Linked DNA regions of Ovis aries. The protein of the gene in region 2 interacts with the protein of the main gene of each other region in a pairwise test. Links are inferred from orthologs where the notes say so. Each region holds a gene or a part of one and is shown on either strand. Other genes may lie near its edges.

Evidence for each region.
Region 1: the proteins of FBLIM1 (region 2) and CUTA interact in binary tests that used the Homo sapiens proteins (3 or more experiments, as listed by UniProt). The two-hybrid records come from large-scale screens. The link is inferred for Ovis aries from reciprocal best matches to the Homo sapiens genes FBLIM1 and CUTA.

The regions. Positions count from the first base shown.
Region 1 is NC_056073.1:7,748,045-7,751,565, forward strand, and holds CUTA (protein CutA), read right to left. Parts: upstream 2,073-3,521; 5' UTR 2,013-2,072; intron 1,930-2,012; 5' UTR 1,920-1,929; coding exon 1,878-1,919; intron 1,621-1,877; coding exon 1,412-1,620; intron 1,264-1,411; coding exon 1,204-1,263; intron 1,094-1,203; coding exon 1,048-1,093; intron 975-1,047; coding exon 871-974; intron 755-870; coding exon 628-754; 3' UTR 527-627; downstream 1-526. Other genes in the region: PHF1 (PHD finger protein 1), read left to right, coding at 1-81. UniProt on the Homo sapiens protein: May form part of a complex of membrane proteins attached to acetylcholinesterase (AChE).
Region 2 is NC_056065.1:51,111,817-51,115,875, reverse strand, and holds the start of FBLIM1 (filamin-binding LIM protein 1), read left to right. Parts: upstream 1-1,222; 5' UTR 1,223-2,275; coding exon 2,276-2,439; intron 2,440-2,733; exon of another isoform or gene 2,734-2,945; intron 2,946-3,015; exon of another isoform or gene 3,016-3,770; intron 3,771-4,059. UniProt on the Homo sapiens protein: Serves as an anchoring site for cell-ECM adhesion proteins and filamin-containing actin filaments. Is implicated in cell shape modulation (spreading) and motility.

The sequences.
Region 1 (3,521 bases), on a different chromosome or scaffold from region 2:
GTCCGGGTCCTTGCTCGGAGAGTGCGGCCTGATGGCTCTGTGCAGTACCTGGTTGAGTGGGGAGGTGGGGGCATCTTCTGAACAGCCTGCCTCTGCCTAACTGCCCATTGACACACACCGGCACTTTCATACCCTGACCTCTGACCTCACCTACAGCTGGGATGTACCTGGGGCACTAGGGGGGTATGTCCCCCTACTGTCCAGGCTGGAATCCAGGTTGGGGGTTGGGGAAGAGGCTCGCTCTCCTCTACTCCCTTCACGGTTCCTGACCTTCCCCCCAACCATTCCCTCATTTCCTTTGATGTTATTTTGTTACAGCTTTTTAAATATTTTTAAAAATTATTTAACCCCTGGGGACGGAGACTGAGGAGGGGAGAAGAACAGATCCTGGGCTCTGTATCATTGAAATAAAGATAAATAAACAAACTTAGCAGCCCTGAATCATTCCAAAAAACGAGAAGAAAGGGACTAGAAGCACTTCTGATCTTCCCAACCAAATTCACTTTTTGACAAGGAGAAAGTAAAATGGAAGAGAGAACTAAAAATGGGATTTATTAAAGAGTCCAGTCATCACAAGGTAGGAGTGTTGAAATTTATGAGGAAAACCATGGCAAGAACAAAGGTTCATCACAGCGGGGCTGTGCTGGAGTCAGGAGCTGACTCTGTCACCTGGCGCACCCACTGCAGGTACGGGGGGTTCCCCTGCTCCACAGGCAATGCAATCACCTCGGCCACTTCATAAGGGTGCACAGACCTGTGGAAACGATAGGGGAGCAAAGACTTACCCAAAGGAGTCTGTCCCCTCAGACTGCCCAGGAAGGCTCACCCCACAGTTTACACCCTCACCTCTACCCACATCAAAGTTCTCACCGAACAAAATCCGTCAGAGCTGGAACCAAGGAACTTTGGGTTTTGATCATCTGAGGGGTGAAGACAAACATGGTTGAATCAGGGGGTGAACTTGATTCCAGGATCTGGGATGAGGGATAGGGGTCAAAGTAAATAGTCAGAGAATTAAGTTTTTGTCGGGTAAGAAACATTTCTCACCATCAGCACTTCACTGTCCTCTTCAATTTCTCCTTTCCACTCATAGCTGAAAAGGTAAGGAAGAGAGTGTTGCGAGGGCAAAGATTTCCCTCAAGGTAAAAGACTGCTAGTCAGTTCTTTGAGTTAGGTTAACCCTCCAACCCCTAATTGACTCACATGGATGTAATCTGAGGGACAAGGTTGACGCAGGCTGCGAGGCGCTTCTCCACCATAGCCCTGAAGGTGAAGAGAGAGCACCTTTTTAAAGGCCCCATGACCCGGATTTTTGCACTGGCAGCCCAGAGACAGGCAGGAAGCAGCGGGAGGCGCTCCCCCATCTCTCCCTTCATAAGCACCTTTCCTCGCTTCACACTGAAGTCCCCACCTGGCGATCTCCTTGGCGACCTTCTCGTTGGGGCAGGTGACAAAGGCCGCAGAGACCGAGCCGGGGACATAGGCGGAGCCCGAGGCCGACGAGGGCTGGGCCGGGGGACTTCCTGAAGCCATGGACAGCAGGGCTCGGGGTAGCAACAGAAGGCGAGAGGCTGCAGGCAGCAGTATCGGCATCCAAAACAGCGACAGGAGCAGAGCGGCCTAAGAGCAGGGGGTGGATTCGGCGTCTCATAAACACCCCAGCAAACTGCACCCCGGGAACACTTCGCTTGCATAAACACTCAGGCCCGCCCTCTTCTGCATCCCGAAGAAAAACATTACTGAAACCAAGAGAAGCTTGGAAAATTTAAGGCAAAGACTCGGTTTTCACTCTCTCCTCGGAGGCCAACCTCTGGGTTTTGGGGTACGGGTCATGGGCGAAGCTTCGAGGACCGGAAGGGGCGGGGCCGATCACTCACCCCTCCGCCGAGCAGGAATGCGGGAGCCCGCCCCCGCCTCATGCAGCCTATGCTGGCAGAGGAGGGTTGAATATCAGAGACCACACGTTACGTGGAGGAAGAACCCCAAAGCCAAGAAGAGCAGCCTCTTCTTACCTGGGCAGCAGCCACGTGATAAGAAAACAGCGCAGACCACGTGACAGTAGAAACCGGACTACCCTAACCTCCAAAGCCAGCCAATCCTCGCTCCCACGTGGCCCGGTTTGTCCCGCCTCCGGGGGTGGGAGGGGCGAGGAAGGATCCAACCAATCAACACCAGGATCTGCAGACGTGCACGGAAATGGAGCGCCCGTTTCCGTGTAAACCGGAAGCGGCCAATTGCAGGTTGAGGAGAGCCGCAGCGGCGTTCCACTGTCACGTGAGGGGGCGGGTCGCCTCAGGCAGCGGTACCTCAATGAACTACGCGAAGAGACCAATCGCGGGGCCGCCCCGCAGGCCACATGATGAGAGCCCTGGCGCTGGGAAAGGGGGGCTGGAGACCCCGCAGAGTCGATGCGTCAGATTGTGGAGTGGGGGCTCATCCTTAAACCCCGGAATGTGCCTAGTAACAGCCCTGTTCCTGAGGCCTTAAGAAATGACAGGGTCTTAGGAGATTGAACCTCAGGGCCGGAGGGTGAAGAGAGCGCCCCCTGCCATTTTGGTTAGGACTGACAGATTCTTGAGTTGGGGAATGCACAAGTATAATCTGAGAAACCAACTGTCTCTGGTTATAGGGGGAAGTGATTAGGCAGGCAGGGCATGGCAAGACCACGACTAGGTGGAAAGATGCATTTTTAAGAGAACGGATTAAGACCCTGTAAGTGGGATAGACAGTGATTAAAATGGAGCGCCTCAGCCTTAACTGAAGCCCCAAAACTGCAGACAGACTTGTGAATCGATAGAGAAGGTGGGGGAGAGGAGGGCTGCAGGTTGGGGGTATGAAGAAGACACCAGGAAGTAGTGATGGTCCTTTTATCCCTTACCCCCTTCCTATTTCACTCTCTGGGTCTGGTCTACGTCTCAGCCTTGGGTCTCCTTCCCTTAACCCATCCCCCTAGGAGCCAGGACCTGCCCTACATAACCTCCCTGGGGCCCAAGCACATCCTCTGACCCAAAAATGGAGGGGCCAGTGAGAGGAGAAATAGGTGGGAGGAGGCAGGGAGAAAAAGGCTTTGCCACTTTCCCTACCTAGTATTCCCCCTCCTCCCTGGGTCTGGGGTCTCTGGTCTGCTGGGTGGGTATAACTTCCCAGGCTGAGTTATCTCATACTTACCACTCTAGGGTTGGAGGTCTCCCTGAGATCTCTGTCTCTGGAGTTTGTCTCTGAGGGATCTCTATGGGGTCTTTTGGTATTTGTATCTTTTTTAGGACTGAGTGTCCTTGTTTTTTGTTTGCAGGGGGAGGTTTCTGGGTCTGCAATCACCCTCTCTCTGAGGTATTAAAAATTCTTTTTTATGTGTTTGGGGTTTCTGAGTTCATCTCTGGGCTAGTAGAGTGTCTCTTTTGCCCCCCCACCCCCACCCCCCAACCAAGGTCTGGAGTTTCTGTGTCTGAGTTATCAGCCTCTGAGTCTGCAGTTTCTTTTCTCTGAGATCTAAGTCTGGGGTCTCTGATATCTCTCAGTGG
Region 2 (4,059 bases):
GTAATCATCGTATTAATTTTTGTTGGGAATTCCCTGGCAGTCCAGCGCTTCGGACTAGGTGCTTTAACTGCAGTGGCCAGGGTTCAATCCCTTGTCGGGGAACTAAGATCCCACAAGCTGCACGGTACAGGCAAAACAAACAAACGAAAAGACTGTTATGTCTTGCACTCCCCCGTGGATACTATTCCATGCTATGCTTAGTTACTCAGTCATGTCCGACTCTTTGCGACCCCATGGACTGTAGCCCTCCAAGCTCCTCTGTCCTTGGGGATTCTCCAGGCAAGAATACTGGAATGAGTTGCCATGCCCTCCTCCAGGGGATCTTCCCAGCTCAGGGATCAAACCCAGGTCTCCCACGTTGCAGGCAGATTCTTTACCGTCTGGGCCACTGGGGAAGCCCCTGTGGATACCAGGACTGGTGACACCTGACTTGATTCTCGTGGGCTCCGTGACTCGAGCTGAGCACACAGCAGGTGCTCAACTGCTCTTTGGGTAGGAGGTTCCCCAGCAGACTGGACAGCGGCAAATGTCCCCACTGCCCTAAATCTTACTCTCCAGCCTCTCACCCACGTTCCCTGCCATGCAGGGTCTCAGCTTGTTGTTCAGGCTCTCAGTCATTTCTGATTCTTTGTGACTCCATGGACTGCAGCACACCAGGCTTCCCTGTCCTTCACCATCTAGAGTTTGCTCAGACTCATGTCCGTTGAGTCGGTAATGCCATCCAATCATCTTATCCTCTGTTGTCCCCTTCTCCTTTTGCCCCCAGTCTTTCCCAACGTCAGGATCTTTTCCAATGAGTCAGCCCTCTGCATCAAGTGGCCAAAGTATTGGAGCTTCAGCATCAGTCCTCCCAATGAATATAGTCCTTCTATAGGGTCTCGGCTGCTGCAAACCTAACAGATCGAATCTTTTTGCTCAGTGGCTTAGGAGAAAGCTGTTCCAGGCTGGCAGGACAGGAGGAGGGGAGCAGAGCCTCTAAGCTGGCAGACAAAGGGCGTGTGTTCTTATCCAGTGCACTTCCTGGGTTTCCATTGCAGGAAGCCGGGCACCTGCCGAGGTGACACAGACACCAAGGCTGGCGCTAGACTCCCTTGTCCGGGACGCTCCTCTCCCCCCGGGAGCAGCAGCAGAGGTGGGAAAGAGGTGCTGGACAGTTGGTAAGTGGCAGCAGCTGGACTCCACATTCCCCTTGGACCTGCCCTCTTCCAAGCCAGTCTTAGCTTAGCAGCAGGGAAGGCTTAGATCCTGCTTGGAGTCAGTGAGACCTTAGGCCCCACATCAACCTCACTGTCCCACCTGGAGGTGTGGTAGGTGCTTAGGGGAGGTATCATGGAGGTGAGGGGAAGGTAGCAACATTTTTATTTGCTTTAAATAAGCTTCTGAGTCACAATGCACTTTAAAAGGGAGTTCTATGGCTAAAAGGGTCTGAAAACCCCTGGATCAAACCTTCTTCCTTAGGGTCCTTCCCATGGCTGGCATCCAGTGGATTTTTCCTTCCTCCTGGGGAAGGTATAGAGATCTTGTTCCAAGGGGTGCTTGCAAAGGGAGGTAACCTTGTCAAGCAGGGGAATGACCCTGACCACGGGCTCAGGCAGCCTTGAGTGCGAGTCTCTCTCTGCTGAAAAGAGAGGGAGTCACCTGTCTTTGCAGCTTGAAGGGTGGCAGTCTCGCCAGCCGCTGGGACCTGCAGGGTGGCGTGTGTACCCAGGGGCACCTGCTGCTGTGGGTTGGAATCCAGCTCTGCCATTTGCCTCTTGTGTCGGCTTTGAGCCTCTCTGTGCCTCAGTTTCCTCATCTGTGAAGCAGGAATAATCAGCCTTTTCCCATAGGGCTCTCCCGGGAATTAAATGGAAAGGTCTGCAGGCCGAGCATCAGATAGGAAGCCCCTATGAACAGCAGCTACTGTTACTACTGTCGTTATTACAGGACTGGCTGTGAGGATGGAAAGGAAAAAGGGATGCAGAGCAGGATGGGAGAGGTGACCAAACACGAGTGAGGGATTTAGGGAGGCAGGGTGGGGGAGGAAGAGAAGCACAGGACAGGGTGTTCAGCGCCCCCCACCAGCCCCCAGAAGCATGACCCCCAAGAACAGCCCCAGAGCCCTCCAGCCAGCAGCGTGACTGCAGCTTTGGGCCCACAGAGGAGAGCCAGACCCTACCTGGCCTCCCTGCAGACGGTGCCGGCCCCAGCACTCCCCTGGCCTCCGCCACTGTGGCTTTAATCAAAAGAGCAATCTGTTTGCCTCTGAATCAGACCCAGATTCCTTTTCCCAGCAATGTTCCCTGGGCCTCCAGGGACTCAGGCGGCCCATCCAGGCTCCATCTCCTGCCCCAGAGCCCAGGCTGGGCTTCTCCCTCCCCATTCCACGTTTGGGGGACAGAGGAGCAGGAGGCTGGAGCAGTGGAGGGGTCAGATGCCGGGTCCAGCGTGGCAAACCGGGTAATCTGATTGCCAGCGAGGCCCTGTCTACCAGGCTTCCCGGAGGACCCTGTCCCCCCAGGACTCTGGGGACCCACCTGCAGAAGGCGTTAGGGGCCAGACAGGTCATTAGCCCCATTTTAGAGGCGAAGAAACTGAGGCTCAAGAAGGTGGAATGAATGCCTAGTGTCACAGGATTAGTGAGCGTCCGGGGAATCCAGGTCCCACCCGATCCTTAAGACCGTGGGAGATCCCAGGCCAAACTGGTGGGGCCACCACCCCAGGCGACCTCGGGGAGGGGGTTGGGGGAGGAGCACTCTGGGTTCACAAAGGACGAGGAGAGTGGGCACCCGAGGAGGCCGCCCACCCTCCAGGCCTGGGCCCAGGGGAAGGGAGGAGGGGTCGAGGGAACAAAGGGAACGGGGAGGGGGCGGCGCGGGGCGCGGCCGGCAGGTGGGGGGGCAGGTAGGGGCCGCTTCCGCCCGGCCGCGAGCCCGGGCCCCCTCCCCCAAGCTTCACCTTTTATGGTAAGGCGGCCGCGGCGGCGGGGCGGAGGGAGCCGAGGGGGCGGGGAGGGCGGAGGGGGCGGGAGGCGCCGCGCCGCTCCTGGCTCTGCTCGATCGGGTGACCGACCGGAGCCGCAGGGGGCGCGGGCGGCTCAGGTAAGCGGAGCGGGGGGGGGGGGGGGGGTCCCGTCCTGCCGTCCGCGCCCCCGGCTACACACAGGTGACAGCGCGGGCAGCCCCTGGCCGGCGCGCAGCCCTGCTCCCCGGCCCGGACCCCAACTCCGGCGCTCCCAGGGGGGCCCGCGGGGCTGGGGGCCGGGGGTGCGGGTCTCTGCTCCCCGGGCGGAGGGAGGGCGGGTCTGGAGGCAGCGCGGACGTCCCTGCCGCGGAGCGGCTCGCGGAGAGAAGCGGTAGAAGCAGGGCGGGAGCTCCCGCACAAAGAGGACAGCGTCCCGCACACGGATCGAACTAAAGTCCCCGGCGGCGCCCCACCGTGACCCTGCCAGCCGCCCCGCCTGGCTGCTTGCGGGAGGGCGCCGGGCTTCCCAAGGCCCTGGAAGCTCCGGGCCTCTTGCCCCAGCCGGGGTTAGGCGAGGGGCAGGAGGGGCCGCGGAACTGCCCCTCTCTGGGCCTCATATCCTCTGGGGGGGGGGTTGGTGCTGGGAAGGGGTGGGGCTGAGCTATTCCCAGGGTATGTGCCTGGGGCGCCCTGCCCTGAGTCCTCCTCCAGCCCAGAATCTGAGGACCCCGCGGAGAGACTGGGCAGCGCCCGGATCCCTGTTCTTCTCATTGATGGAAGCCAACTCCTGGTCTTCTCAGGGCCCCGGGGGTTCCGCCTCTCCTGAGGTACTGAGTAACTATCCGCTTTCTCTTGGCACCTACCCAGTACCAAGATCTTGAGCACCCCCTCTTCTTTTATGCTCTCAGCCACCCTTCCAAAAAGACCTCATTATTTCCACTCTTTGAAATAACAGAGGCCCAGAGAGGTTCAGTGACCTGCTTAGGGTGGCCCAGCAGGAAAGAGGTGGGGTTGGGGATGAACTCAGCCCTATGGGCCTCCTCCACTTCCCTGGGGTGGGAGAGAGGGAGAGGCCTTTCTGTCCCAGGCTCCAAGGCCAGGAGAGGGGGCTCAGTT